Nothobranchius furzeri: one gene and its partner. The protein of the gene in region 1 interacts with the protein of each later gene in a biochemical or structural test. Links are inferred from orthologs where the notes say so. Each region holds a gene or a part of one and is shown on either strand. Other genes may lie near its edges. The genes, in order: cebpb and cebpg.

The links.
Region 2: the proteins of cebpb (region 1) and cebpg form a complex in vitro, tested with the Homo sapiens proteins (2 studies listed by BioGRID and IntAct, with this or other methods). The link is inferred for Nothobranchius furzeri from reciprocal best matches to the Homo sapiens genes CEBPB and CEBPG.

What each region holds. Positions count from the first base shown.
Region 1 is NC_091755.1:52,063,428-52,079,249, reverse strand, and holds cebpb (CCAAT/enhancer-binding protein beta), read left to right. Parts: upstream 1-7,848; 5' UTR 7,849-8,012; coding exon 8,013-8,888; 3' UTR 8,889-9,120; downstream 9,121-15,822. UniProt on the Homo sapiens protein: Important transcription factor regulating the expression of genes involved in immune and inflammatory responses. Also plays a significant role in adipogenesis, as well as in the gluconeogenic pathway, liver regeneration, and hematopoiesis.
Region 2 is NC_091749.1:66,128,111-66,145,147, reverse strand, and holds cebpg (CCAAT/enhancer-binding protein gamma), read left to right. Parts: upstream 1-5,850; 5' UTR 5,851-6,565; intron 6,566-7,340; exon of another isoform or gene 7,341-7,678; intron 7,679-7,713; exon of another isoform or gene 7,714-8,305; intron 8,306-8,779; 5' UTR 8,780-8,882; coding exon 8,883-9,371; 3' UTR 9,372-11,289; downstream 11,290-17,037. Other genes in the region: cebpa (CCAAT/enhancer-binding protein alpha), read right to left, coding at 3,469-4,341. UniProt on the Homo sapiens protein: Transcription factor that binds to the promoter and the enhancer regions of target genes. Binds to the enhancer element PRE-I (positive regulatory element-I) of the IL-4 gene. Binds to the promoter and the enhancer of the immunoglobulin heavy chain.

The DNA of each region.
Region 1 (15,822 bases):
CGCAGCTTCTGTCTGCTGCGCGGGCTGCCGGCTTTCAGCAGCTTTCGGGAGACCTCTGTGTTCCACCCGGTTTTACCCAGCGGTCAGCCCGGCGTATCTCTGACTCAGAAGCTCTGGTGTTGTGCACAGTTAACGCCGGTTGTAGCTAGGTTGCTACCTCCGTTAGCTTAGCTCCCACTTCCACGTTAGCTTTGGGTTAGCTTCAGGTTAGCTTGTAGCTAGTTCGACCGGGTGTCGTCAGTTGATCCCAGCCTTACAGCCCCACCCTCAGCTCCACCTCTCTTCCCTTTTGTGGAATTGTCTGGGCTTGACGGAACCTGTGACACGGTCACAATGGCGGTGATGACCACCTCCCATTTTTCTTCAAAAACGTGTTGTTGGAGCCTATGGAAACCCATTGTCCATATATGTATATGTCGACGTGTCCTACCCACCTCTTACCTGTTACCTGTTGGGTTTGACACCAGCCACCAGCTAACCTCCCAGAGAAGGAGGAGTGAGAGAAACTAATGCATCCTCACCTCTGCCAAGTCTCAGTTACAGTGAAGCAGCTGTAGATTGTGTTTTATGTAAGGTGTCATGGCAGCTCCTTCATTTTTTTTTTTTACTATTTTTAACCTTTAGGATTTTGCTGCCTTGACAGTGGGCATATGTGTGACAGCCTGGTTTGGATTTATACATTTGTTTTAATTGTGTTAAAGTGGTTGGTAGTAAAACTCAAACGTGAGTCAACATACCAGTGCGTGTCATGGAAAATAAGCTCTGGTGACGTGTCTCTTCACAGTGCTGAAGAATTAGAAAACATGTCTGACCACATTCTGATTGCTGGTTAAAATATCCTCCTACCTCAGACCTGGGCATTTTACGGCCCGCGGGCCACATCCGGCCCTTTGGTTGACTTTGACCGGCCCGCGTAAGGTTAATTGGAAATTACAAAATAAATGTATTTTCTCATTTTACCTCATGCATGGGCTAAGGCTGCATTGCTTTTATTTTGAAGTTGTATTTTACGTGCACAATGACGCAATACGTATAGCAACAAGTGCCCGCGGTTGACATGGTGATTGTAGCCTGAGAAATGTCCGCTCATGCAAAAAAAAAAAAAAAAAAAAAAAAAAAAAGAAAGATGCCGAATGCAGGATTTTCAACAAAAATTGGACTGCTAAGTATTTTTTTTACTGAAGTCGGAGGTAAAACCGTGTGTTTGGTTTGCGGGGAGGAGATTGCCGTGTTTAAGGACTACAATTTGAGTCGGCATTACGACAAGAAACACTCGGAAAAATACAAGAACTTGTCTGATGCTGAGAGGGCACGGACATCCGAAGCTTTGCTAGCAAAGTTGCAAAAGCAGCAAGGCTTTTTTACTAAGCTTCACACATCCAGGGATGCAGCAACCAGGACCAGCTTTGTGATATCCCACAAAATAGCTAAAAACAGCGAACCGTGACCAGGAGGATCGAGGACATTGCGGGGAACCTGGAGCTTCAGCTGCAACGTGAAGTGGCAAGTTTTGACTTTTTCTCATTAGACGGGAGCTGTGATGTCCGGGACACAGCCCAGCTGCTCGTATTTGTCCGGGGGATAACGGACTTCAAGCTCACAGAGGAGCGGGCAGCAATGCGGTCGATGAGAGGGACAACGACAGGGAGTGATCTTTTTACAGAGGTAAATGCGTGCATGGACACTCTGGGATTGAAATGGGAGAGACTGTCACAGCCGGGCGTACACTGTGCGACTTTTTCACTTTTTTGAGCCGATTTTCCAGTCGTGCGAGAAGCCACGACATCGGGGCGAGTTTTGCGCCGAGCGGTCGTGTAGTGTACAGGGGGTTACGAGAGGCGATTAACACCACGTGACCAGCCGCCGATCAGCAGTCGTGAGGTCGCAGGGACTTCTGGTGTGTTTAATATTTCGCTCGTCCCTCGTGAGGGTATCGCACTGTTGAAGCGGCGCTGCGAGCAGCTGCGAGCAGCTACGATCCAAAAAGTATCAGAACCGCTCACGGCGCATGCGCGCGCAATCCTGCATCAACGCCGGCCGGTCGCTCGCTATTTCCCTAATAACACACGCTGTTCGTTTTTGTTTCTACACGTTTTTTTTACTCACAAAGATTGTCAAGAAAGCGTGTTTGTCGTGTTCATGTCAAATTAAACTGATCATAAAACACAGATTCACTTTCTTTATTTCGTTTTCCTCATCCAACCCCCATAAATCCCTGTGTGTCCTCCTGCAGCACTCCCGAAGGACAACAGGCAAGACAAAAAAGTCTGACGTGTTGTGTAAAAACTGCTATTTTTAGCACATTTTGGGGCCGACGTGTTGCTACCAGACGTACAGTGTGAGCAGTCAGGTCGCATGCGAGAACTGGGTCGTACAGTGTGAGCACACGACTCGTGAGATCTGCTCTGCGAGGAAGTCGTACAGTTTGAGCTGAAGCTGAACGCTGCGAGTGAAAAAGTCGCACAGTGTACGCCCGGCTTAAGGAGGATTTTCCAAACCTGAAGAGACATGCTCAGAAGATGTTGGTTCTCTTCAGCTCTACCTACATTTGTGAACAAACATTTTCAATGATGAAGTTTACAAAATCCAGGTAAAGATCCTCTCTCACTGATGATCATTTGTCAGCTGTGCTTCGCTTCTCCACCTCAGACATCCAACCTGACTTTGATGCACTCGTTAAAGCCCAGCAGAGACTAGATTTCTCTCACTGAATAAGAAAAAAATTGCTTAAAAACACAAAATAAGGTGTTTGGACCACAAATGTAGGCAACTAGCAGTGAACTGGGACACTTTTTTTAAACCTCTTTCTCAAGATCACAGTTCAGTGATTTTATTTTACAGACAATACTGTGTGTCTGTAGAATGCTAAGAACCTCTTTCCAACAATATTTGAAACTCAGAATGTGTTTTGGAGTGAATGTGACTGAAACTGTTAACTAATATAAGTCACAAATGTTTAACAAAAACCAAATGTGCACACTTTGTTTACCATTGCCTTGGGAAATTTGAATAAATCACATTTTTGTAAGCCAACCTCACTTTTTCCTTTTTGCTCATTTATAACATATAGTCTACCAGCTTGAAGAAACAATGGTATTTACTGCTTTTTATAAAGAAATACCATTAATATTATGCATAATTGACTTCAGCCTTTTGGCCTGCGGCCCTCCACAATATTTTCTATTTCTCATGTGGCCCCATGGAAAAAATAATTGCCCACCCCTGTCCTACCTGATACCAATGTCCAACAGGGGTTGGTGCAGCTGACAGGAATGTCGCAGATAAAAAAAAGCAAACATTATTTAGCTCCTCTGAATCCGAGACCATCTTAAGTTGGAAAAGGGTAGAATGCTTTCTCCGGGTCAGGGATGAGGTCCTGCCTTAAGTGGTGGAGTCTAAGTATCTTGGGGTCTTGTTCACGAGTGAGGGAAAGATGGAGCACGAGATCGATAGGCGGATTGGTGCTGCATCTGCAGTGATGCGAGTGTTGTACCGATCTGTCGTTGTGAAGAGAGAGCTGAGCCGGAAGGCAAAGCTCTCGATTCACTGGTCAATCTACGTTCCAACTCTCACCTATGGTCACGAGCTTTGGGTAGAGACCGAAAGAACGAGATCACAGATATGAGCAACTGAAATGAATTTTCTCCGTGTGGTGGTTGGGTTCTTCTTGGGCTTGGTCATGCGGTAGGGGCTCGGAGTAGATCCACTGCTCCTCCACATCAAGAGGAGCAAGTTGAGGTGGCTTGGGCATCTGGTTAGGAAGCCTCATGGATGCCTCCCTGGTGAGGATTTCTGAGCACGTCCAACCGGGATGAGATTTAAAGGAAGACCCAGGACATGCTGGTCGGACTATGTCTCTCGGCTGGTCAGGGAACGCCTTAGGATTCACCCCAGAGGAGCTGGCCCACGTGGCTGGGAAGAGGGAAGTCTGGGCCTCTCTGCTTATACTGCTGCCCCTGTGACCCGACCCCGGATACGCGCATGAAAATGAATGGATGAACGGACATTACCATCATTTGATAATTTCTAAAAAAGGTAATCAAATTCTATGGAATTATTTGCCAGACATTTTGGTATTGCAAGCTGGGATTGTTTTGTCACGACACAGTGCCTCTTTATTAGGTACAGATGTTTAATAACATGTTAACACAAGTCCCAGTAACATGGCTGCAACTCAGTGCATTCATACATCTAGATGTGAAAGAGACGATTTGCTGAAGGTCAAACTGAGCATCAGAATGGAGAATAAGAACCACAACATCTGCTCCAGATGGACTCCATCAGCAGAAGACCACAACAGGTGTCTCGCCTGTTAGATAAGAACCAAAAACTGATGCTACAATTCACACAACATCACCAGAACTGGTCCAGAAGAGACTGGAAAACCTTTCCTGGTCTGATGAGTCTGGGTTTCAGCTACATTCAGATGGTTGGGTCAGAATTTGGTGTCACCAACATGAAAGCATGGATCCATCCTGCCTTGAATTAAATGTTCGGATTGTTACTGCTGGTGGTATAGTGGTGGTAGGAGGAGATGTTCTGGCCCCACCTGAGGCTGATTTAAACACCACAGCCTACCTGAGTACTGTTGCTCACCATGTCCATTCCTTTATGACCACATGGACCCATCTTCTGGTGGCTACTTCCAGCAGGACCATGCACCATGTCACCATATCTCAGATGGAAACATCTGTTAGATGTTAAATCTGTTTGGTTACAGACCAGAACTTCTGATGTATGCTTCCAAAACCTTGCTGAGTTGCTTACGTGAAGAATTAAAATTCTGAAGTGAAATGGAGTCCAACCTGGTACTGACAGTGTGTACCTAATAAAGTGGTCAGTGTGTCTGAGTGTGGCTGACTGAAGCTCCTCTGGTCAGTGAGGGTGCTTCACACAGATAGATGAAAAAAACAGACACTATTATATTTCCAAATAAAGATAAAGAATTGTGTAAAACACAGATGTTCCCTCTGTGTGGAATATTATGTGTCCTATAAGCAATAAATAGTTATAATAATAATATTTATAAAAAATCAATATAATCTCTATCTCTCCACTTGGAGAAATAAAGGTTAGTTCTGACCAAGGAGATCACAAAACAGTTCTAATCGTATTGACTTTGCAGCAGTTCATGCTAACACTGCATCATAATGTTTACATTACCACTAATTCTACATGTCAGGGTAATTCCGTCAGATGTTTTATTACATTCAGGCTCATTTCTACTGTAAAAAGCCTCATAATCATTAACAGTTTAAACTGAAATGTGAGGAAATAGAAAAGGTTATGGAGTATTTAGAGGAACTTCTGTGAAAACCTTTACATTGTTTATAGACCAGTTGTAACTGCTGGAGACCAACCTCCAAGAATTCATCTCCTCTTCTCCACACTGAAGCCTTGTCAAAATATTTGTACACCCTGCTTTAAGATTATTAAACATGACTCCACAAGGTGGCAGTGCGGTTCAGAAAATTAATGAATGAACGTTGTCATCACCACCTATAATAAAATATTATATTTTCATAACTAAATGGTTTTCCCAATTTAAAATGTGTACGTTTATGTTTTGCACACTGCTCAAAAAATTAAGAGTACGCAAGAATAATCCTTGAGCTGAATTAATTAAAATTTCGTACTTTGTTCTTTACATCGTTATATGTGCGGACAACAAAATCACACTAAAATTATCAATGGAAATCAAATGGAAGTCTGGATTTGGAGTCACACTCAAAATTAAAGTTGAAAAACACATAACAGGCTGATCCAACTTTGATGTAATGTCCTTAAAACAAGCCAAAATGAGCCTGTATGACCTCCCTACAACACCTGGGCATGCTCCTGATGAGGTGGCAGATGGGATCTCCTCCCAGACCTGGACTAAAGCATCCGCACAGTCCTGAACAGTCTGTGGTCCGAAATGGAGTTGGTTAATGGAGCGAGACATGATGTCCCAGATGTGCTCAACTGAATTCAGGCCCTTGGAACGGGCGGGCCAGTCCATATAGCATCTTGTGCCTTTGTCTTGCAGGAACTGCTGACACACTCCAGCCACATGAGGTCTAGCATTGTCTTGCATTACCCAGGGCCAACTGCACCAGCATATTGCCTCACAGGGGCTCTGAGGATCTCATCTTAGTACTCAATGGCAGTTAGGCTGCCTCTGGCGAGCACATGGAGGGCTGTGTGGTCCCACAAAGAAATGCCACCCCACATCATTACTGACCCACTACAAAACCGTTCATGCTGGAGGATGCTGCAGGCAGCAGAACGTCCTCCACGGCATCTCCAGACACGGTCCTGTCTGTCACATGTGCTCAGTGGGAACCTGCTTTCATATGTGAAGGGCACAGGGCGCCAGTTGTAAATATGCCAATCTTAGTGTTCTCTGATGTCAAACATCCTGCACGGTGTTGGGCTGTAAGTACAACCCCTGCCTGTGGATGTTGGGCCTTTGTACCGCTCTCATGGAGTCTGTTTCTGACCAGAGGTCATTCTGCAGGGCTCTGGCAGTGCTTCTCCTGTTCCTCCTTACACAAAGGTGGAGGTAGTGGTCCTGCTGCTGGGTTGTTGCCCTCCCTGGAGCCACCTCCATGCTCTGGACACTACGCTGACAGACTCAGTAAACTTTCTTGCCACAGCTCGCATTGTTGTACCATCCTGGATGAGCTGCACTACCTGAGACACTTGTGTGGGTTGCAGACTCCATCTCATGCTACTACTAGAGTGAAAGCATTCAAAAGTGACCAAAACATCATCCATCATCCAGAAAGCAGAGGAACTGAGAAGTAGTCTGTGGTCACCACCTGCAGAACCATTCGTTTTTTGTTTGCCTATAAATTCCACCTGTTGTCTTTTCTGTTTGCACAACAGCAGTGAAACTGCTTCTCAGTCACTGTCACTGGAGTTACATCGTGTTGTTTAAGTGTTCCTTTTATTATTGTTGAGCAGTGAACTTATATATAGATTTACATATCTGGATTTTTACACATATTTAAAATGTTAATACTTAGTAATTGTTGCATTGGTGATTTTGTAAACAAAAGTCTTTCGTTGAGTTTTATCAAGTTTATCAGATTCTAGCTTCTACTGCAGCCAGAATTAAGGACTTGAGGAGAGCTTGTGTCAGATCTCATTTTTTGTCGAGGCAGCAGATTTTTCAAGACCCACAAAGCAATCACAGACATCTTCTAGGGCACATATAAGTCTTTCGCCTTAAACCAGACAGACTGGCTTCCTCTGACGCCCACCCTGGCCTTTGTACAGATTTAGACATGCATCATGAGGAGGTCCACTGCACTTTAATTGGCACGTATATATGCTGGAAGTTGTGGGGCACCAGATTTCTAAATGAAATGAGTCTGTGGCTGCTTTGAACATCAGTGATGTTGTTACTATAAACTTTAAAAAGATAAACACGTTGGGTTTTTTTCCAGACGCGTGCAGCAGGGGGCGCGCTTGCATGACGGTGTAAACTGGAATTTTATTTTTTACTTTTTATTTGACTTCTGATATCAGCTCCCATTCATCAGCCAAAGCTGCTTTTCTCCTTTTTGTTCTGCTGCTAGAATTTTATTATAGCCTTCATCTGGTGCGCACGTACATAAAAACTAAAGCAAGTTTTATTTTGTTGTTCGGTGTTTTATTGTTGTTGTTTTGTTTTGTTTGTTTGTTTGTTTGTTTCATCGTGACAAAATACTTTAAATAGCATGCGGACGGGAAAGAATCTTCTCCGCACGGTACAGGTCGGTTCTGCTCTGCGTGACACACCTGCCAAGTTAAGCCCCGCCCCCACCCCTAATAAAACCCCTCCTGAGACAGGAAGATCTGTCAATTCCTCCCAATCCAAGAGCTCCCGCGTAGTAGGAGCTGCGTGTTTCTACGGGTAGTGACCGAGGAGGTTTAAACTCTCTGCATTCCGACGCATTTCACAACTGAGGCAGGAAAACCAGAACCAGCCAGGGCGTCCCACCTCAGCCCGACGTGCTCCTGCACTCCAGCGGGTGTTGAGATCCATGGAAGTGGCCGGCTTGTACGAGGAGGGCAGCTTTGCTATCCACGGTAGAGACGGCTTCATCGGACCCATAGGCGGAGGCTCTTACTGGAGGCTGGGCGACTCGATGACGGAGCTGGGTCTGGGGGAGCGGGAGAGAGCCATAGACTTCAGCGTTTACCTGGACTCCGCTTTGCACTGCCCGCAGCTGGCGGCGCACACGCAGCAGCAGGGGGACGCCTTCTCTGATTTCCTCGGGGAGAACAAGATCAAAAGACTCGCAGCTTTCCAGAACTATAAGAATTACTCGCTGCTGAGCGAGCTGGAGGCGAGCCAGTGCGAGGGTGCGAGGGAGCCCAGGGATCCGTACGCGCTGGGTTACCCCGAGCTGCAGGAGACCCGTGTGGACAGCGTTCTCAGCCCGGATCTGGTGGCCAGCCGTTACCGAGCCGCCGCTTCCACCGAGAGAGAAGACAGTCCGGAAGACGCAAAGATGGAGAACGGGTCATCTGGGTTTGACATGAGGTCCTACCTTCATTACCAATCCACCAGCGGAAGTATTGGAAACATCTCCACTGCGTCCTCGACCTGCTCCAGCCCGCCTGGCACACCTGCCCCGTCAGGTAAAAGCAGGTCACCGTCGCACGGTGGAAAGTCGTCTGGCGGGAAGGCGAAGAAGCGCCTGGACAAGGACAGTGAAGAGTACCGGCTGAGGAGGGAGAGGAACAACCTGGCAGTGAGGAAGAGCAGGGACAAAGCCAAGATGCGCAACTTGGAGACGCAACACAAAGTGCTGGAACTGGCTGCGGAGAACGATCGTCTACAGAAACGCGTGGAGCAGCTGTCCAGAGAGCTGGCCACCCTGCGCAACCTGCTCTCCGCCACCGGACAATGTTAGAACTCCCCACCTCCATCCCCCGGGGATACCGCACGGATCTCCCCCCGGATCCCCGCGCTGCTTGCCTGACAGACTTAACGGCGCAAGAGGCGACCCACTGTGCTGAAAACGGTACTCTGTAAACAGACCGCCAGTTTACATGGACACTTTGAATGAGACTGAACAAGTGGCTGCATGGATTGCGCAACCATTACGCGACTTTTCACTTGTCCTCATAGCTTTATTCTCAGATGTAATTTTAGTGTATGCAGTATTTCTGTGCAGGTTTTACATTACCAGTGAATTTCTACATTTTGTGTACACTGTATCTGCAGCAATGGCTGTCAGGGGAAGAGTTGTGCTGCAGTGAAATGATGCAACTCTTTGTAATAGTATTGGCAATGAATGAAATAGTCTAATTATTTAATATTAAAAGGTGAAATGCTTTAATTGTTCTTGATATTTTATTGAATTAAAGAGATTTATACTTTGTTTAAACTATTTCACTTCCCTTTTCTTCTTTTTTTGTCCCTTTCACCATGGATCGTGCATCGTTCACCGTCATCATAGACTGTGTAATACCATGTTTTGGGGTTACGACACACTGCAGATAAGAAATCACCTCGATGATAAGCAGAATGTGCACATTTAAATGTCAGGCTATGGTGAAATCAAACAAAGCACCATGAGATTTTTCTCTTTGGAACAGCTAATTTAGAAAATAGTCACATGGGCCCACACAAAACATCACTCATTAAAAAAATTTTTTATTGAGATTGTGCATTAAAGTTGCCTGATCAACTCACACACTTAATCATAAAATAAAATAGGCAAAGACTTTGTTTCAAAATGATTAATCAAAATCAGTTTTTATAGTTGCACTATATGCTTAATATCATGTTTGGTTGTTGTAATTGAGGGCTTGACTCCAAAAGTACACAGATCCTTAAATAAATGTGACAGATTTATACTGAAACGATACTGCTGAGAGCAGCAGAAAGGTCTTGGTCACTCTGCACGCAGCACAGAAATGGTAGCTTTATCTTTAGCACACAGTTCTGTCAATAGTCTGCTGGGTCCACCGGCCCAGAAAGGGGTTCAAGGTCGTCTGGAAATTAATGAACAACTAACCTGCTCACACTGGAACAGCCGAGACCTGGCGGGCGGTGATGTGTCTGAAACCTGAGCAAACCTCGGATAACCCTCACGTGGGAAACGTGCAGCACGACATTTCACCTGTCCACACTAGACTGTGGGTTACAGCAGAGGCTGCAGATAAGCTGAACTGTGGAATTTACCAACTACTCAGACTGCATTTGCCTGCGTGTGCAGCCTGAATCATATCTAAGCTAGCTAACCTCAGAAAGAGCAGATAAACACAAGGAGCATGTTGTGATTTGTTGTGGGGAATGTCTTCCAGCTGAAAAGTTTCACATTTGTCCTCAGATGGCACAACGAGGAGTCGCATTGTGTTCCTTTAATGGGGCGTGAACACAGAGTTGTGCTGTTTGTGCACAAGAAATGACATTTTAAACGTTTCAACACAGCTAGTGATGAACTGGAGAGTTCTAGCTGTTGTGCAACATCCTCCCTTTCCAAACACATCACTACCAGAAGAATGCTACACCCACTTTAGAAACAGACATCATTGTCCTCGGTCTGGAAGACAATAAGTGTGAGGAGTGTGTGCCAGTAGGTGTTCAGGAATAGATTGTGAAATCCAAGCAATCTCAGAATAAAAGTCAAGTTTCACATAAGATTTCCCATTTCTGGATGCTGTCAGTCCCTGGCACAGATTCATTCAAACATGGACATTCCTTCTTCGACGGCCTAATCCAGCCACAAGCACTCCTACTCCACTTCCAGATCCCATGCTGACAGGAAAGAGGGAAATTCCCACACAGGATGACCTCCCGTCTTCAGAGTTTAGCCCGGCCCTCTTTCCGTGTTTTACCGTCAAAGGGTAGTGCCTGTCTGTAAAACGTATTGCATCACACACACACACACACACACACACACACACACACACACACACACACACACACACACACACACACACACACACACACACACACGCATGCACGCACGCACACACACACACTCCACCTGCCATCCTATTGTCCTCTTTAGTTGTGAAATAAAGTTTTCCACATGTGACTCATACTAATTTGTTCTTCAAACACTTTACTTCTATTGTTGCAGTGATTTAGAAACACGATGTCCACATAACTCTCAGCCGCTGTTTTCATAACTAATTAAATTAATGAAGGCATCATTAGGCAACACTTAATTACAGACTCCTCCATTATTCTTAAATATAAAGTTACATCATTAAACCTGAAGCTTTCTGGGTTTGACGGTCAAGAACATGTATGATCGATGAAACACGATTAACATGAATGAATAGTGACTGTTCGTGGTGTGGAGGGCGGTGTGGGTTTAAGAGATGGGACTGGAGCGTGATGCTTCCTATCAACAGCAGGATCATCCTAATCTGTGGAGCACCTTTCCTGCACAAACAAGATCACTTTAAGTCTCTCCCTCTTCTCTCTGGATTTCAGACCCTTGCAGGATTTCCAGTGTTTACTGTTGTTTTTCTTGGTGCTCATATTAACTGTTGATTCACAAACTAACGATTCTGTGTTTTAGACTTTGTCCAGCTAGATTCATTTTTCCTGGAGTAGACTGACCGGGTTTGTTCGGTTTCAAACTGAATCAAAGCTCAAAACAATAACAGAAGTTTGTGTTTTAGTTTCTTTAAATGCTGCCAGCAGAAAGTGCTCCCTCTGGTTTAGATCAAGGTTTGTTTCTATCATTGTATCTCAAAGGTTTCCTTTTGTTTTGTAAAGCTTTACAGGAATATTAACATGGGATCGTTTATTAACTGCAGAATTTAATGGTAGTTTTGCTGGAATAACCATAAAGTAGGAACCTTTTTGGAATGCAAAGGTAATAAAATAGCATCTGAGGTGGTTTCCTGCAGGATAACATCACCTTCATCCATTTGGTTTGTTTTCCACAAAACTGTTACAAAAAAGAGCTGAAATGTACAGTTTCATTTTCACAGAGCAATTTCCAGTAAAACCCTAAAGCAGACGGGTCCTGTAACATCACACACACACACACACACACACACACACGTCATGTCATGCTTTGTATGGTGGAGCTGGTCTTTGTTGACATAGAAATCTAAACACAACTTTCAGCTGTTTGGATGTTTGTGTGATTATAAATCAGTGACTTTTTACTGAAATGTCCTTTCCTCAGATAGATTTTGACAAAGAAAACTAAAACAAATTTTGTCCTTAAGAAACACTTAAAGGTGTCCAGGAAGCTTTAACTCTTATGACTGTATCTGCTCTCTCTGCCGTTGGGTCATCAGCGCAATTCTAGTTTTCAAAACTGGCGGTCATTTAGGTTTTTGGTTCCTCTTGATAAGATCTATTTTGACATGTTGCTAAAAAATGTCCTAATTGTGTTTAATTTTACTAACTGAAATGTGTGATCATCACTTCCTGTTTAGAAAACTTTTTCTAACATGTGTTCTGTGTCATATTAAAGTGGGCTTTGCTTTCCAAGATGAATAAAATCCTTTAAAACTGAAATGTTTGTGCAGTAGAAACAGGAAACCTTTATTTTTTATGTTTGCCAGTATTCTGAACAATTTCATTATTTACAATTAAAAAATACATGCTAATTGATTTGTAGATTTGGGAAATGTATAGACATGTAAAGGAACTTCCTGTTATGACTTTTCACAGATGTTTTTATATGTTCTAAATGATAAACAGGGATTTCCACAGCCCTTAGAACAGGGGTGTCAAACTCATTTTAGCTCAGGGGCCACATTGAGGGAAATCTAGTCACAAGTGGGCTGGACCGGTAAATAAAAAAAAACTTCAGATTGTTTTCTTTGTTTTAATACAATCAATATAAAACAAGGCTGGAGTCTGAGGACAGTGTATCCAAAATAGTACAAGAACAACACCTGAAGTGTACTTGAAAATTTGAAATAAATAATAGAATAAAAAAAAAACATTCCTTAGTGATTCAAAGAGCTTACAGATCACATGGCTAGATGAGTTTCATGCAGCACTTAAAGTATATTTGACTCATTTTACTTTACATCTTTTAGCTTTCACCAGCACATCAATATCAGGAGTCACATCCTGAGTGGCGGCCAACTTCAGGATGTGATTCAAGTTCTTGTGTGAGCCTTGAGCGCAGCTTTGTTTTATTTATACTCGTTACAGAGAGAACTTGCTCACAAAGATAAGTTTATTTTCACTCTACATTGTAAAGTATGAAAATAAAGTTTACACAACCATCTCGCGGGCCGGATTTAACCTGCTTGCGAGCCGGATCCGGCCCACGGGCCGCATGTTTGACACCCCTGCCTTAGAATAACTAAACACTATCAGCCAGGTCATCCTTTGCTGTTTGACCCTGAAAATGAGATACTCATCAGCATTTTTCAGGATGTTCTGAATTTTCTCAGTTTTGTGTTTGAGTGCACATGTTTACATATTTACCTCTGAATTCTTAACGTCTCTGGGGTTTAGTTTAAACCTCAAATTTTTTTAAATTTAAGACGTTACTGACAAACAAAGATTTTTGTCAGGTGCACGACTAAAGTATCCTTATAGCTTCTCATGCAGGTTTAATGACTGAATGTAGCAAAATTTGTCTTTTTTAGCCACATTTAAATCAGAGTAGAGCTGTCCGGACCTACAGTATGTTTGGATGCTGTGAACACAGAGATTTCGTTTTTTTATCATTTCAGATCTGCGTTAAGTTAAAGGCGTGCCGGATATCCAAGTCGGGCTTGTGACGGGAACCCGGGAGGCCTGAGATACGGTAAGTGAACTAGAACATGATCTGTCTTGAAGTGAACCAGGATTTCAACATCTTGGTTCACTTCTGCTTTTTTTGCTGTACATGACTGTGAAAAAGACAAAACTGATGTGCAGAAGTAGCTTGTGGTCAGTACACAGCAAATATCACTGCCCAGATCTTGGGTAACAGCAGACCATCCTTACACAACAAACACAAGCTTAATTTCTAGAGCAACAACGGTGTCGGAGAGGCTTTGGAGCGCAGTCCTAATCTCTAAGAAGGTCCATCCAGTCTGCATAGAGCTTTTTAGTCTGTTATGTTAATTATCAGTTATAAAGCTTGAGTTAAAGTACTAGACTTTAGATTGTGCAGATGCTCCTTGTGTCAGAAAGTTAAATATCAGATCAAATAAATTTCACTGTGACCAAATAAACTTCCTCAGGAGCATCCATTTACCAGCATGCTCTTTTGGATTGTGGTCATTCACTAAATTCAGTTAGAAAGAACTGGCACTGTTGGAGTTTTTGTGTCAGAATGTTGTCTCAGGTTGTAGGTTCAAATCCCTGCTCAGCCTTTCTGCATGGAGTTGGTGTGTTCTCATGGGTTTTCTCCAGAAGCTCTGGTTTCCTCCCGCTGGCCAAGACTCTAAATTGCCCCTAGGTGTGTCACTGTGTGTCTTTGTGATGGACCGGAGACCTGTCCAGGAAGTCATTTTAGAAATCCTGTCACAAACGAGAGACGCTGGTTTTAAACTTTGGAAGCTCTTAGCTGTTTCCACCTCTTTATTCACCTGATTTTTGTGTCTAATCAGCACACCTGAACCAGTGAGACTCCTGATTTAGTCAAATTCTCTTTCTTCATTCTTGTTCATCAGCTCCTCTATTTGTTTTGATCATGAATCCTACCTGTATGGATTTGAATCTTTTTACTCCAGTTTGTTTCAGGTCCATCAAACCTTTACCTGACAGCAGCGCTCGCTACAGCTCCTGTTTATCTCCCATTGAAACACAAAGTCATCTAAAATAGAAACAGAAAATACATCATTTTAAAAATTCAAAAGAAAATATAAAGATGTCTGAATTAAAAAAAATAAACATTATTTCCTTACTTTGATATAAGTTAAATATGATCACTTATGTTAGTTTGCATAATAATCTAACCCTTTCTGCCCCCTAAACCAGTCATTTAAATAAAAAGAATATTTTCACTGCTTTTTGGTGTGGAAGCTAAATTGTTAAAATAGATGCCTTTCTTGACACCAATCTACGTGTGTGTGTGTGTGTGTGTGTGTGTGTGTGTGTGTGTGTGTGTGTGTGTGTGTGTGTGTGTGTGTGTGTGTGTGTGTGTGTGTGTGTGTGTGTGTGTGTGTGTGTGTGTGTGTGTGTGTGTGTGTGTGTGAGTGGGGCATCCAGCAATGGTCAGTTTAGGCACTGTTTGACCTTTCACCATCTATTCAACATCTGGTCAGAAAGGAGACACAACATTGCTTGTGTTCCCTTTAAATGAGTCTGCCTTCACACCAGCTGGGATTCAGACTCTGCAAGTCTGAAAGATAAACAATAACTTTCTTTCCCAAGGTCCCATCTGTCTACCTCCAGAAAGAAGAACTCCAGCTCAAATCAATTGCTAAATTCAAGAATGATTTCATAAATAAATATGAACTTCAGCTATGACCTGTCATCTAGATAATCATTAAATAAACATTTGTTTATTATTACTTATAATAATTATAGTATAATGAAATGCTTCATTAATCTGTGCACACTGAATGGATGTTATATTATGTGTGTCTAGTAGAACCTGCCATGTGTTGACCATGTTTTGACAACAAGGTCCTCACACCTGCCTCCACACAATAAGTACGGTTAAGTTAAGACTACAACAAATAACTTGTTTTTTTAACCAGTCAGGACTTCCGATATCAAAGACGGTGTTTTTCTGAGTTGCCTTGGTAAAACATCTCCAAACTTGTCAGCCTCTGATTGGCTGTGCAAATCATAACATCAAATCCTTAAAACTAGATCACTTTGAGTGATCTGGTAGTTCTAGAGAAAGCTTCAGACCGGCCATCTGTACCCAAACCCCTTTAACCATCAAAGATTTTGACACGTCGTCAAAC
Region 2 (17,037 bases), on another chromosome or scaffold:
GTGTTAAAAGTTCTAAATCGTGATCAACGCTAGGCCGAGCTGCTGCTAACGTCCTTGTTGGACGACAAAGAAGAGTGTCGGAGCCCACATTTACCTTTCCAGGATATTTCCTACTGGGAATATCCAGACTTAAATGGGCAGCAGTAGCTCAACAGGTAGAGCGGGTTGTCCAGTAATCGGAAGGTTGCAGGTTTGATCCTGGCTCTGGACAGAGAATTCTGCTGTTGTGTCATTGGGCAAGACACTTAACCCACCTTGCCTGCTGGTGGTGATCGGAGGGACTGGTGGCGCCTGTGCTCGGCAGCCTCGCCTCTGTCAGAGCGCCCCAGGGCAGCTGTGGCTACATCGTAGCTCATCACCATCAGTGTGTGAATGTGTGTGTGAATGGGTGAATGATACACTGTAGTGTAAAGCGCTTTGGAGCAGGGGCGGATTAAGGACTGAAGAAGATCCGGGGCTTAACACACACACGCACACACACACACGTGCACACACACACGTGACACGCACTCAACATACATATTTGTCTTGAACCACATAATTTTTAATCTGAAGCTACATATTCAGCATATTCAGGGCAGAGTATTGTTCCTGTTAGTGTTTAGTGTGAGATGATAGTAAATATTCCCTTTCTTTCTCCAACAACTTTACCTGATAATCTAACTTTAGGCAAACAGCAGCACAACAAATATTTTCAAATAAGACTCACAAACCTGAATCAGCACCAGTCTCATCAAAGCTGGGGTTCTGTCGTTGTACTTTTGGTCTAAAAAACGTCCTTATGTCCATCTTCACTCATGCGTTTCAGGCAGAGAGTAGAAAAAACAGGCACTGCAGAAGAAGCCGGCTGCTTAAGGGCTTCTTCTTCAGTGGTGGAGGCTCAGGCAGGCTGTGTACAAACTACTGCTAGCTGCTCTCTCTCTGTTGGACTTTGGTACTGCATGTTACTTCCACGTTTGAGATCCAGGGCTTTTCATTAAAGATTCGGGGCTTCAGCCCAAGTAGCCGGGCCTAACGCCGCCCCTGCTTTGGAGTCCTTACTCTGAGAGGCGCTGTACAAGTGCGGATCATTTATCATTTAAATGAATGCCAGATAGATTCATAACTTTCCTGTTGAGTTCTCCATACTCTATAAGGCTGTAGAGTTTCTACCTTCAGACAGTTAAAGAGCTCTCAGGGTAAACCGGCCAATCAGCATGCAGCTGTTTGAACGTCTTGGTTACGTTCAGTCTGTGCTGATTTTCTGATTCCGTTTTTTCTGTTCTTCTGTTCCCATACACAGAGCAGTATAGAGCTTGTTTTTACCTTCTTACTGACAAACAGATGGAAGCGATTCCACCATCATCGGTGATACTCTGGCAACAGCAGTAGCCAATAAGATTCATGCCCTGGCCGAGGGGGCGGGACAAACCAGTCTTTCCATTGTAGGGTTTTGTTATGGGGTTGTGTTTGACCGTTTAGCAGGGCTCCTGGGTCATTGTGGGCTCCAGTAAAGATTCATCTGGAGGTTCAGTGAACAGTTTCCAGTTCTAATAAAAGTAGAACACCTTTAAAGCTTCCGATCTGTTTCTGGGTGCAGCTTAAGCTACCTGTTTTTTTAGTCTCATAAAAATGTGAGACAGAAAGGCCCGGATGAGCTGCTGGAAAACAGAAAAGCTCCATCGCTGATGAAGTTCCTCGGGAGAGAAGATCAGACTTTCTAAAATCCTCAGGATCAGATCTGGATCACCGTTGATCTGCTCTGACTCCTGCTGGCTGCTTCTCCCCAAGTCCAGAACCAACAGCTCAAGAACAGCTTCGTCCCACACACTCACTGGGGGGCTGACAGCAGAACCCAACCGGGCCATCAATGTTACTGAATGCGCGATGTATCTGATACCACTGATGTGTTTCGTGTAATTTTTTTCATTTGTTTTTTATTCATTTGAGGTTTTTTGTTGGCTCCTTTGTTCGTCTTGTTGTTGAAACTTTTCTGTGTGCCGCTGCTGGAAGCTGAATTTTCCAGAGGAACCTTCCTGAGGGATTATTGAAGTTCCTTCGGAACATCTGAGGGAGTTCCGATTTTACGACATGATGGCAGGTCGCCTGCAGCAGAGTCATGACACAAACAGAACCTTAAAGCACAAACTGAGGGAATAATAATCATTTAAATACACAGGAAACAGAAGCTGGAACCAGTAGATCAGCTGTCTGACGCCTCATTAAGCAGCTGGTTTTAGAGTAAAAATGAATATCTTTGACTTAGTGTGTGTGTGTGTGTGTGTGTGTGTGTGTGTGTGTGTGTGTGTGTGTGTGTGTGTGTGTGTGTGTGTGTGTGTGTGTGTGTGTGTGTGTGTGCACATAGAGCCGAACACTCTCAGAAGAACACCAGAACCAAATTTGATAAAACAAGTTTCTTTATTACTTCAGATTTTGGTTTTTCATTTATATTTTATGTTTATATTACAGAAATAAACAACAAAGTGCTTCTTTCTTCCTCCCTGGAACAAGTCAGAGAACCATCTGAGGGATCGGACAAAGGTCAAAGGTCATCTGAGCGATCAAAAGGCACTGAGTGAAGATGACTGCAACAAGCAGGAAGATGAAGAGTGATGCTGAAACCTGGTTCACATTTAGCTGTTCTGATCACAATAAAACATGTTTAGAGGGGCGTAGTTCTGTTGGGTTCTGTCCAGAACCTGTATCAGTACACCCCCTCCCCATGATCAGTACCATCACTGCCTCCCCATGTCCCACAATGTATCTGGCTTTAGTGCATGAGAGCTTCAGTCTGAACAGGGTCAGGGTTGGGCTTGCAGGGCTTTGGCGGTTCTGTTTGTAACGGTTTCAGTACCGAACAACCCTCAGCCTGGCTTTGCTAGGGTCATTCAGAACTAGTTTTATTAAACATGGGTTCTGGCTCTGACCCAAACTCCCCAGACAGTTTATCTCTGGCAAGTGTGAAGGTGAGTTTGATACCACGTGGTGTCAACAGCCAATCACCTGCAAAACACAGTTCAGCCAAGCAAACAGCTCAGAAACAGGTTTCGGTCCGGTTTGGTTCCGTACATGAGATCGTTTGTGATTAAATAAAATTCTGTAATGAAGGCGTCGTGCACGCAGGCTGGTCCCGCACTAACCTCATCGTAGCTGCACTGAAATGTTCTGAGTGGTTCTGGACTCAGTCTGTTTAAGGCACTGAACATCTGATTCAGCTTATCGGCTTTTGCACAAACGTTAAAGGCACGAGAACACGACAAACAAATAAACAAACAAACAAGTTAAAAGTCTCCAACGGGTTCAGTTTGTTGATGGAAGAGTTCCGTTCTGCTGCTCTGAAGATTAAAATCATCCGGAACCGAACCGGGTCTGTTAAGTTTTCTGCTCCTTGACCCAAAAGTTCTGCATATGTGCAGCTGTTTTGAGAACTCAGCTGCTTCTGTCTCTAAACAAATCCAGCACTCTCCGGTCCAGTCCGATTCAGATCTCTCAGCTGCCCATGGGTTTGAACGACCCGTCCGGCAGCTGTCTGAAAATGCCCCGTAACGTGTCCAGCTCCCGGGTCAGGTGCTCCACCCTCCGCCTGAGCCGCTCGTTGTCGGTCGTCAGCTCCACCACCTTCTGCTGGGTCTCCAGGTTCCGCATCTTGGCCTTGTCCCGAGACTTACGCACAGCCACGTTGTTGCGCTCGCGCCTCAGCCGGTACTCCGGACTGCTCTTATCCACGTGTTTCTTAGATTTCCCGCCTCCCCGCTGCTCGAGCAGCTTCATGCCGCCCTGCTGCAGGTGCTGGTGCGTGTGGTGATGGTGCGGGCTCGGCACTGGAGTCGGTGGAGGCGTCGGGTGGCCCGGCTGGAGGTGCATGGTGGTCTGCGCGCAGTGCGCAATCTGGTACTGCAGGTGCGGCATCTGCGGCTGCTGCTGCTGCTGGTACTGCTGAGGATGCGCGTGCGGGTGGTGGTAGGAAGGGGGCATGCCCGGGTTCAGGTCCTCGTCATCCCGGGGCTCCTGCTTTATGGCCACCGGTCGGAGGCGCGGCGGGTTGTGCTCGTAGAACGGCTCCAGCTTGGACTCCATGTAGTTAGGCATGTAGAGCTGCTGTGGACCCGGACCGCAGTCATACTCTCCATTCATCATCTTGACTTTGTCCTGTCGCGAGTTGTGGTGGAACAGGTCCGCCAGGAAGTCGTCGTTGAAGGCAGACGGATCGATGTAGGCGCTCAGGTCTATGGAGGTCTCGTTGTCTCCGATCTCCCCCCCGAGGTCAGACGGGTCTCTATAGCCGGAGGGGGGCTGCTGGCCGTGGGGCAGACTGCTCAGCAGGGGCCGGGGCGCGACCTCGTACAGGTTCGAGAGCTCCATGGAGAACCTAAAGCCGGGCGGGCATGGCGAGGAGCTCCGGAAATCCAGTTTGGAAAGTCACACACTCAGGTGAGTCGGACCGCTGCGGACAGGAGCCGACCGGAACCAGAGTCTTTAGGACTGACTGACACTTTGTGTTGGAACGAAGAGAAGCTGCCGGTCCGATTCCTGGTCCTCAGTAACCTCCGAGCTGTCAAACAGCGGTTTTATAGTTGGAATGGGTGGGCGGGGACAACACCACACTCCTTCAGTCTGTCTGACTCGAACCCCTCCGGGACCCGGGTGGGACAACAGAACCCTGCAGGTTCTCGGAACCGATCATGATCCCAAGTGTTGTTTAAGGAGTTTGGGTCTCGCTCCTAGACTAAAGGTTCTGATCACCTGATGCGGATCGTCTCCCGAACTGCACCACCCCATCGGAACCAAAACGCTTGACTGATGTTTCGTTTACTTAAAAAAAGGTAAATTAACCAGAATTAAATTAGAATAAAACTTTTGTTTGTTTCACAAAAGAGTCCTGTGTGTGCGCACGCATGTTTTTATGCGCGTAAGTAAATGCCTGCCATACCTCTGTGTATGTGCGCGCGTTCACACACACACAAACACACACACACACGCGCGCGCGCGCGCGCGCGTGTGTGTGTGCGTGTAAAATGCGGGATGCAGCGCCCTCTGTCGGACGCAGACAGACACCGTCTGGTCTGATGTTGGTTCTGGTTCGTTTCAGACCGTATAGAACCGAGCAGAGATCCAGAACATCTCGCACCATCTTGGAGACCTTTGAAGGACCTTTTCTCCTTCAAAAACAACCGCTGGATCCTGTGTTCATGACAGAGATGCTGTTAGCTCTGTTCTGCTAGCATAGCTGGTGGTCTCCATGGTAACGCTGTTGGCTACATTAGCATAACTCCTGTTAGCATAAATAAGGGTCGGTTAAAATGCCATTTCCTCGTCATAAAGATAGTGTGTTTGTTTTAATGAGTATCATTTTAGTACAACATGTAAAATTAGAAATTAGCCCAAATAGTTGTAATAAGTCTATTATTTCGTTGTAAATAAAGAGTGATATTTTAACCACATAGTCCCCATCTGATTGTCTCCCTGAGAGGACATGTGTCTCTGTCTCACTGACATCCGAGACACATATAAAGACTTGTCTTACTATAAACACATCACAATCATAGAACCACAGAACCCATCAGAACTATCTCTGAACATTTGTGATATGGGTTCCTGGGATCAATCTTTAGGCTCTGCAGAATCTGAACTGGTCCTATAGCTTTATCTGAACCTGAACGTGAACATCTGACGCACTCCTCAGGAGATGTATTGAGATGTGAGGAATCCCCCACTGAGACAGAATCTCTGGGTCTGGTTAATCCAGGAACATGGTCCAATAAAAAACCATATGAAATCTTTTAAGTACCTAAAACCTGAGAAGATCCAATCTGATCATGGTTGTTTGTTTTTGTACAGGCATAAAGAGCTGGTGAAACCAGAACTGGTCCAGTTCCAGCATCATTCAGCTTCACATCTCCAGCTGTGACCCTTAAGCAACTGGTTCTTTTTTGATTGTTGATTAAGATGAAGTCAAAAGTTGCAGCAAATAGAAGCTGTAGAGAGTCCAGAGGAGGTTTCAAGATATAACTGCCACTCTCATGAAGCCTCTTCTCATCCTAGAGCTGCATATCTCCCCCTGAAACCTCCTCTCTGCTCCTGAAGCATCCTCTCTCCCCCTTCAGCCTGATCTCTCCTTTTGACGCCTCCACCTTGCTGAATCCACCTCTCTCATTATTACACATCCTCTCTCGCCCTGAAACCTCATCTCTCCTTCTGAGGCCTCCACCTTTCTGAAGCCTCCTCTCTCTTCTCTCCTCCTGAAACCTGATCTGAGGTTCATGGAGAGATTGGTGCTGACCAACAGCATTCTGGTGTGGTGCAGCAGCAGCTCTGCATGCTGACAGTAAGGCCCTGCAGAAAGTAATCTAAACAGCAGAGAAAATAACAAACGCACACCTGCCTGCCCTGGATGACATCTTCACCACTCGCTGCCTTCAGAAAACATCCTAAAGGACTCACCCTGCCCTGCTAACCATCTCTTCAAACTTCTGTCTGGCAAACAATACAGGGCAATAAAAACACACACCACCAGGCTGTTAAACCAAAAAACAGCTTATGGAGCCATCACTGAACTGATGTTGCTGCTAGGCGGTCACACTAACAGGTATCTGCTGCACAGTTACAGCACCTTGACAACATGTGACTGTTTACATTATGTTTGCTTATGTTTACATTACATTTCGCTTAGTTTTAGACTTGCCTCATTACCATATCTGCATGTTTTTGCACCTAAACTGGCTGTGTGTGTGTGTGTGTGTGTGTGTGTGTGTGTGTGTGTGTGTGTGTGTGTGTGTGTGTGTGTGTGTGTGTGTGTGTGAGAGAGAGAGAGAGACTGTGCATGACTTCTACTTTAGCCTTATTTTATTTTACTTATAGTCTACCACCTCCTCACGTGAGCTGTCTTTAGTGAGCGCAAAGTCATTTTTGTTGTGCACCTGCGCAATGACAATAAAAAGTCTTGGATCTTCTCCTCTCTCATCCTGAAGCCTCCTCTTACCCCTGAAACTTGATCTCTGCTCCTGAAACCTCTTTTCTCCTCCTAAAACCTCCTCCTATCTGAAACCTGCTTTCTCCTCCTGAAACGTCCACCTTCCTGAATCCCCCTCCCTCCTCCTGATATCTGCTTTCTCCTCTTGAAACTTCCAACTTCCTGAAACCTCCTCTCTAAAACATCTACTTCCTGAAAGCTCCTCTCTGCTCCTGAAATATTCTCTCTCCTTATTAAGCCTCCTCTCTACTCCCGAGGGACCTGGATACTCTTCCTGTCTGAGGCAACAGCTCACCTGTTACCTGTAGGTGACAGTCAAAGAAGGGGCACGTGGATGATCAGACATATTTAAATCAGGACCTTTCCAGGACTGATTTCCAGATAGTCAGACATGTTTGTACTCATCCCACAACCTCTGATTACACAAACAAACTAACAAGAAGACCACGCGCTATTGGTTTAGCTGCCTGTCAGGCATTCAAAGCATTGCATCACTCTTCTGAATACTGAGCTCTCATTGGCCTTCACCTCTATTCGCTGCCGCCTACTCACCTGTAATTGGCTGGTCTTCGACGTTGCCCATACATGGTAAAGTAGATTTCGCAATCGGCTGCTCTCCATGTTCCAAACAAAAACACTTCAGCTTCACTCAGACGGAATCTAAGTCGGATTTTAAATCCCGTTCTCTGTGTTTTTATGGATGCTTGACTCCACCGCCGCTCTTTTAAGGTAAATCCCGTTTCAGCGTTTCATGGCTCCGATCAGAGACGACAAATATCCAGGACAGGACTCGTTAGCATTAGAAGCTAATCAGCTAGCTGGCTAAAGGGCTAAGTCGCTTTGAGGAACGTGAAATTCAGTCTCCGCTCGTTTTTAGAGACACACTTTGCTTACAGCGGGGCTCGTATTCACAACAAAAGGCGACAGTTAAGCGAGTGGTTGGCGTCAGCTGGTGGGTTGGAGGGAATCGAGTTGACTAAGTGGAAGGAAATAACAACAAAAGCCTTATAAAGTGACATTTTTGGGTCTGAGATCCGTTTGGATGTTTTTACAGTTTATTTAAACTCACTTCGGTCCTGTGAAAGGTGAGGTTTGTGCTGAGCCCCGCATGACTCCGGGGTTCCCCGCTGCTGATGATGCAACAGCGGGTAACAGCTCTGCTGTTTCACCCGGAGCGCTTTACCCTGCGCACAGCTGAGTGGCTGCATAGCAACGCACCGACCAATCAGTGTCGGTGCTAGCCGAGGCTGCACAAAAATCACATGACCCAAGATATCAAGCAAGAGGTGTGATCACGTGACACATGATGGCAGGTAGTGGAAGGAGAAACAACAGGAACACATTCAGTTCCAACAGGTGGGCGGGGCTCAGGTGTTTTCACAGGTTAATGTTTGAAAGCAATGAAGATGTGATTTCAGGACATGATTTACACAAATGTGAATAGATTTAATGTTGATGGGAGAACAAAACTGTGACCAAATGCAGGTGTGAAGCCTGGCGAGTAAGGTAGTCACGGGACCTCTAACAACCCGGGCTGCTGGGTGATTTCTCGCTGATGGACATGTTTGAGACTCGCTGCAGGGGGACATTTGGGTCAAGGTATTGTGTTCAGGTGGAGCTTCTTAGTGATGGTGGTGTTACTGAGATCCAAAGTGTGGATGTGTAGCTCAGAGGCTAATTAATAGTGGATTACTGCATCCATGTTGTTGTTGGCCAGCTAAAGGTGAAACTCCCCCTGACAGGAAGCTGTGTTCTGCTAACATGTCTACGCGGCTGAGGTGTTGTCTGTTTGAATGGTTTCATTCAACATGTGTCCATCTCCTCCTTCAGGCTCAATCCAGTTGGATCTCCTTCTCTCCTTCCTGTCCCCATCTCATCTCTACACCTGAGGAGACTCTGGTCAGAGATCAGCACCTGAAGGCACCACATCCAAATGAGCAGGCCGTCGCAGCCGAAACTCACCACAGCCGACCACAACAGCGTGAGTGTCATCCAGAGCCAGGCTCACGCCTCCTCGTCCCTGCCGGCGGCCGTTGCCGGACTGCAGCAGGTCCCTCAGCTCATCCCAGCCAACCCTTCCTCTGCTGGAGGCAAAGCCCTTCCCCCAAGCAAGATGAAGAAACCCACTGTGGACAAGGACAGTGATGAGTACCGCCAGCGGCGCGAGCGCAACAACCTGGCGGTGAAGAAGAGCCGCATGCGCAGCAAGCAGAAGGCTATGGACACGCAGCAGCGCGTCAACGAGCTGAAGGAGGAAAACGAGCGGCTGGAGGCCAAAATCAAACTGCTCAGCAAAGAGCTTAGTGTGCTCAAAGACCTCTTCCTGGAGCATGCACACAACCTAGCTGACAATGTTCAGCCACCTGTCAGCACTGAGGGCTCTAGCCCCGCCCCCAACAGCACCCCCACCAATGGGCAGTGAGGTGTGGATCCACTAGGTTGTTAACACCTGCAGGTTATCTGGAAACGAGCCTCTCCTCTCGTCTTCTTCACTTCGCATTTCTTTGTATGAATCTGTTGTTGTTCACCGTGTCCACCCACCCACCCTCAACTTTTAGAGACTTCCTCAGAAACTTGTCTGACTGTTTATTGGACAGAGACACAGGTGTGGACTCTGATCATTGGAAGGTAGCATTTCCTCCTTCTGTTGGTGTTTGATCTAATTTTTTGGTTTTAACTGGATTCATGAAGATGTTGATATTTTAAACATCAAAACTTGACTAAAGACCTGGAAGGTTCTGGTAGACCCAGGCAGGGGGGGTAGGGGTGGTGGGGGTTCTTTTCGCTGAGGTGGAAACCTCAACCACCCGAGTCACAAACAGGATCAGAAGAGAACAACTATGAGGTTCAGAGCTCCTCAGGGAACCAGCCATAATCTGGATCAGAAACTTTTCTCCTCATCCTGGTTTTGTTTCCATCAGCGGCGCAGATCCGGTTGAAAAGCGTCTGGTTTCTGATTAAAGCCGCAAAGGTCCAGAGAAAACCTGTTTCCAGCCACCGAACCGTCTGATGGGTTGGGTCAGAACCACTCAGCATGGATGCGACCAATGGAATTTTGTCTGAGCTCAAAAACAGTGAAAGTTCTGATGTTGCCGTCTGGTGGAGTGTTTGTTTACCTGTAAACAGGAAGTTGATCCAGAGTGATTTGTGTTGAAACTAAAACGTTTCCACCTGTCAGAACACCCCGTCCAGACAGGTGTGTTTGTGTTTGGAGTGCTGGGCGGACCCAGACACCTCAGCCCCCCCTCCCCGCTGAGCTGCAGCTTTATGCTAAATCCAGTTTTAAGCCGGGCTGAGTCATTAGCCGTCTGCTAACGAGAGCCGAACAGATCGCGACAGGTCCCCACGGCGGCCCCACCCAACTTCAGGAGAGGGTGGAGCCACAGCGAGCCACCAGCAGACTTTATAATTAGCTGAGCTTTGAACAGGCGTGGTGTGTTTGCGTGTCAGGAGCCTTACCTGCCCACAGGTGTGGTGACTCGAAGCCTCCAGCCAAACTCCACTGCTTCCTGTTCACTTTTCTCAACACAAGACAGTTTGATGTGGTTCTGAAAGGTTCTGGTGTCAAAGTGGTTCTGTTCATGTTGGTTTCACTTGTTTCTAATAACAGTCCTGAACAGTCATCTGGGTTCTGTTCAGAAAAAAAAATACTCCCGTAGATCCGATTCCAGGTGATTACATCATAAAACTTCAGCTTTGGTTTTAGAAAATCTTCTAAATTTGACGGTTTCATATCAGAAACTGAAAATAATGATCAGCTGGCTCTTGTCGCTCAGGTGCTCTGATCTCGCACGCACGCACGCACGCGCACGCACACGCACACACACACACACACACACACACACACACACACACACACACACACACACACACACACACACACACACACACACACACACACACACACACACACACACACACACACAGCTCCTAGTCCACTCTGAATCATAATCAACAAAGGACCTTCACTCAACCTCTAAATGTGAAGTTGGTGTTTTCTGCTCTTTTACCCAAATTAAGTCTGTAAGACATGCATGATCCATGAGAGACGGGAGCTACATGCGGTCCATTAGATCTGAACAGAACCCGATCTGGATCAGGACCTTTTCTTGGATTAGCTCTTGACTCCACACCCACATCAGGATCCCTGCAGAGTCCCGATACAAGCTTCAGTGTGAGAACTCGAACCTGTCTGCTTTGGGTCCAGATCCTCGGGTCAAGCGGCGCAAACAGAATCTTTTTCAATTTTATATGTTTTTTTAAACAATTTTATTCCTGAAACAGCATGTGTGTTTAGGGGTGGGGTGTCTTTATGTGTAAATTAAACTCGAGTAAAAGTTCTGCTGACTAGTTCTTCCTGTGTGTGTGTGTGTGTGTGTGTGTGTGTGTGTGTGTGTGTGTGTGTGAACCTCAAAGTGTCCCTAGCTGATCTGTGTTCCTAATAAACAGCAGGTGATTGACACAGTGACATCATCTGACATCACTAAACACACAGGGGTTTTCTGTAGTTCAAAGGTCACGTTGAGTCAGCTGATCATAAAAGTCACCTGATGAGTGGATCGACTCACCATGACAGAAACGGACACCGCACACACCGCTACCATCAGGTCAGCATGTGTGTGTGTGTGTGTACTGAATGCCCGTGCAGCTTTTATCTGTGCTCCATCAGTCTGCCATAACATTATGAACACCTGCTTCACATTGAGAAGAGCTGATCCTGGAGCTGCTGTGGAGCTCTCGAGTTCTCTTGTGGTTCTGGTTCTGATGCACGCTGCAACATTAGAAATAAACCCTTTTTCCCACAATCTGCTCTTTTTCAGCAAATGGGAAAACATGAAAACAGTTAAACGTTCAAACATAAAAATGACTGATAGCCTCGTCTTCAATCGCCAAGTTACATTTGTTTAAACTTCACCTCCTCTGAGAATCTGGCGCCGTTCTTCACACAGAAACATCTGGAAAACATGTTCTACGCTTGTTTCCTCTTTATTCTCTCGATCGCACACATCTGTAGCGCTGCTCCTTGGAGGCCTCAGATCCATCTCTGCAGAAAACCAGCCCAACATCTGAGAACTGGCACTATCTGACAAGAGGTGCAGTTGTCATGGTTACCGACTTGTTTACAGTCAGCAGTCTAATGATTTTTTTTGTAAACAACATCCAGTCACCGTACAGAAAAGATGTTAGGGTTAGAGGTCAACCGTTTTACAGAGAGAAATGGTCGCTGGTGAAAAACAGACAGCTGCCAATCAGCAGGTCCACCCAGAGGTCAAAGGTCAGAGAAAACCAAAGAGCTCCGATTTTACTAGCTTTAGGTCAGAGGTCATGAGTTTGATCTGATGGTTCTGTTTAGAAACTGTTCCTTGAATTCCAGAAAGGATTTAGAAACACAAACCAGATAAAAAAGCTTTAGCGTTACCATGGCGACCACAGATAAAGCTGGAGACAGTCTAGTTAGAAATCCTCAGGGAGATTTCTATGTCTATCTCGTATTTCGCCAGAGCCAGGCACAAATAAATCACCGGCGTCCACAGAACAGAAGCTGGTTCCTCCTGCAGATGGACGCTTCTCTGACCACCAGAGGAAACTGAAACCAGTGGTTGTCCCCTTCAAGTTGCTGCTGTTGGAATCTGAGTGAACTGAAGCTGATGGGCCCGCAGCTTCAGCTGGTGAAGAAACCCCCAGAGTCAGAGGAGGAGGCTGAAGGTGAAGACGTTCAGTTCAGAGAGAAGCTGTCAAGCCTCCAGATATCTGTTAGCAATCAGGGTCAGAGTGATTGACAGCCCGGGGTTCTGGCTGTCAGGATGAGTTAGGAGATCGGAGCGAAGCAGCAGAACGTCTTCTCCATCTCTGAGGCTGATAACGTCACTAGGAGCTGCTGATTTATGACATCTTTCACAACTCATAAACAAGATAAACGCTCAGCTCGGCGCAGCTCCATGTGAGCTACAGCGCTGGGAATGTTGTGTCACGCAGAGGAGATACTGTAGATGGATGCGGTCCACGTCCTCCCCAAAGTAGACCCGGTCCAGCTCAGGCCATCCTCACAAACCCGAAAGACAAAAGTTCTGAGTCCAGTGGCTTTAGGTCCATCTGGCGTGTACCCCTTTAGGTCACTCCTACCCAGAGTCCATCACTAGTTTATTTCAGAAGACAACCCAGGGTAAAACTCCCCAGATCTCACGCCTACATTCACTGTTTTTTACCCTACACACACTTCTTCTGCATGTGCACACAAATTATTTCCCATCTTTCTCCTTAATATCATTCTCAAGCTTTGTTTTATGATTTTTCTTGTGTTTTTGAGCGGTTGTGGTCTGTCTGTTCCCCTAACGTGGGCCCCTCAGCCCAGCCGTGTGTGTGTAGGGTTCTGAAAGATCTGACCTGGATAGGAATAGATGTGCTCATGTGTCGATTGTGTTTCTGTGTCGTCTGTCTCTGTTGGATTTGGAGGACCCAAACAGACTTCACATCATTAGACAGGAAATCCAACCAGAACCACATCTGTCTCAGGACCAAAGGACGATGAACGAGCAGATGTCAAGGGAAACCAGCTAAGCACCAAGAGCTCTGATGGCAGAACCGTGATCCTAGAAGTAATCTTGACTTCAAAACGAAGCACTGACTATAACAAAGGCGTTTGCCCGATTGCATGATCACTCAACTGCTTCTTCTTTCAGACAATGAAATAATTTAACACAAGGCAAAGATTCTCTTTTCTAAGCTGCTTTTGAGGTTTTATGTAACCGGATTACAGGATACAATAAGATAATTAAAAGAAAAAATAAACAAATGGGCCAATAATTAGGTTCGGGGAGAATTGGAGGTTGTTTAAGAATGACTGGAGTCACGGGTATAGCATGAAACGGTTTATATACTAAATTTTAATAATAATGGGAGATATAACACATAAAGATAACACATAAAAACAGATGAAAACAATCGACAATAGTAAAATGGTCGGTATGAGATTTGATCATATGAGTCACAAGTCAGCCGGCGTCAAGTCAAATCCCCACGCTTGGGGTGAAAGTCAGAGTCCGGTGGTGCGATTTTTTCCTACCGCACCGTTGAGATTGTTCACAGAAGAGAGCAGTCTGCTCTTCAGTTACTTGAGATGTCCTGGTTCGTTCAGTGGTTAAGGCTCGCCATCTCCCTCGTCAGGAAGAAATCCAGTTCTCGTTCCAAGTGAGTGATCATAGGAGTCGGGATCAAACCCAAGGAAAAAAAAAAACCAGCCTGTAAACAACAGGACTGTTAGCGAGTTGGCATCGACCCTTCTCGTCACATCACAGCATAAAGTCTTACAGACTTAAACAAATGCTTCACTCTATTGGCATAGCCAATCATGTTTGGGTTCACAGTTCAACTAACATAACATCAATTTGATTGTCTATTAAAATAATTCTCAGTAGCTCTGGAAATATAATTACATATGACAACAATTGTTCAGCTCAATAGGCTCAGTTAGATTCTATTACTCTACACTATTCAACAAGAAATACATTCATGACAACAAGGATACATTTAATTGTGTTTCTATACAGCATTGTGACACCTTGTATATCTGTAACACAATAAATAAATAAATAAATAAATAAATAAATAAATAAATAAATAAAATGTTCTATAACAAAATTCAACAAAATATAAATTCTGGTCCTTTGGTCCACCTTTGTAAAATAATTCCTCCCTAATCAGTTAGCTTTTATTTATTTTTATTTATCTATTTTTTTTATTATTAAATGTTTGGTTAAGGGACGCATTGCTAATTCTATGGCGTTAGCTATAACGCCCCTGAGGACCTTGTACATCTAGGCCGTACCACCATTAACTGGCGGTTTGAGCCGTTAACTCCTGGGAATCCCATATGCCCTACCGCCGTTAACTGGCGGTTTGAGCCGTTAACTCCTATATGCCCTACCACCGTTAACTGGTAGTTTGAGATGTTAACTCCTGGGATCTAACGTCTAGCAGCCCACTGCTGTCACCTCGGTTGCTGTAATTAGCTTTTTGAATTTAATAATTTACTGAATTTAATCTCATTCACTCACCAACGCGCTCCAACGGTTCCCTCCTACAGAGGATTGGTTCACTCTGTCGTCTCCACACAAATCTATAAGAATGGAATTAATTTGATAAGCTATTTAAGTTTCCTTTTTTTTTTTAAGTTGCATCGTTAGCTTTTTCTCTTCTTTTTTCTTTACTCACCGCGTTGGTTCCAAGTTCCTAGCTCTTATTAGAAGGAGTCAAGTCCGCCTCTCCCTCTATCTATGCGGCACCCAAATCAGGGTTCTTCACGGCCTCGACCATTGTTTTTTTTTCTCTCTCTCTCTCTCTCTAACCGCTCAGTCTTTGCTTTCTGTATCTGCGTGCTGCACAGCCGTTTGTCTCTCCTCTCGCTCAGCTGCGTCGCACGGTTTTATTTCGCGGAGGCGGGACTTATTTCTCTCAGCCAATGAAATTTCAGATTCCCACCTGGACCAATAGTATACAGCTTTCCTCTTCTGTTTCTGTTAGGGATGTTCAAGATTCTTGTTTTAACCGATGTTTAATATTAAACTCGTTATTTTAGTTATTCACCCTTCCAATAATTCATTATGAAATTATCTATTAGTTAATTAGATATCTATTAATTAGTATTGTTAATTTCCTTAATTTATATTTTATATTTTATCTAAATTGAGGATGGATCATATTAGTAAGCCAATTAGTTAATACCTCATTAAGGTTCTAGCTTCTGGGTTACATCCTCCCCCATTAAATATCATGCACGTCCCTGTGCATTGTTTCTACGGGGTACACAACTTCTTGAGTAAGAGAGTCAATAAAAGCTTTATTAAGTCCTTGGAAAAGGGACCTAACTACGGTCACTAGTGGATTGCCCAATTGAGAGTAAGTTAGTCTTTGAGGAGGCTGACTACTTCGTTCAGATCTCCTGACATACATCTCTGGTTGCACAGTATCATGCTCATCCGTTTCGGTTTGATTCTCAACTGAGACAGGACGAAGTGAGCTCTCTGTTTCCGACAGAGCTGATGAGCTATTCTCTAAGACTTTGGTCTTTTCAGATGTATGTGTCTGATCGTGTATGATGGGTTCAAAACTTACATCACGTTGCTGCGACTTTAGGACACCATCCAATTGAGGTAGGTTTGTGTTAGTTTCATCCCCCGTTTCTACGTCAGGTAAGTATACTTCGTTTTTTTTCGTTTTTTCAGGTAAGTATGTTGCTGCTCCTTTCACTCTTTCAGGTAAGAATGTCGCAGTTTCACTCATTCTGTCAGGTAAGAATGTTTCGGTGTTGATGCCTTTGTCAAGTAAGGACAATTCAGCATTTTCATTACCAGCTAAGGTTGGTTCCTTGCGATCCCCTGTGTGTAAGGATAGTGTGTTTTGTTGTTGAATATTATTTACCGGTCCTGAATCTGCTATGAGTTCCCTATTTGGCAAGGTGACCGCTATTTGATAGGATGGTCGGTTTAGCACTTGTGGAAGATCAGAGTGATAAAACTCATCTACCTCTTCGTCAAGTGGCTCATCTGGGTCAGGTTCTAAGGCTGAACTCTGTCTTGTATGAGGTCTGCTAGGTTTCGTAACGCGTTCTGTTTCATTTTCTAATGAAGAGAGAAAACCACAAGGCAGTAAAAGATCTCTGTGGAGTGTTCTGTTGGGTCCTTCTCCGTTCTCTGGTTTTACAGTGTATACTGGCAAGTTTTCCATCTGTTTGAGAACTATATACACTGTTTGCTCCCATTTGTCTGCTAATTTATGCTTTTCTCTTAAGCGAAGATTTCGGACTAAAACACGATCTCCCACACCTAGTGTGGACTCGCGAATGTTTCTGTCGAACCGTTCTTTGTTCTTCCTCGCTGTTTTTTGAGAGTTTTTTATGACAATGTCATAACTCTGTTCCAGATGACTCTTCAGTTCTTTAACATACTGAGAATGAGTTATAGAGGGCTTGTTCAAATGCGGTAACCCAAAGGCAATATCTATAGGCAACCGAGGCTGCCTACCGAACATTAGCTCGTAGGGAGAGTATCCCGTCACGTCATTTTTTGTACAATTGTACGAGTGAGTAAGTG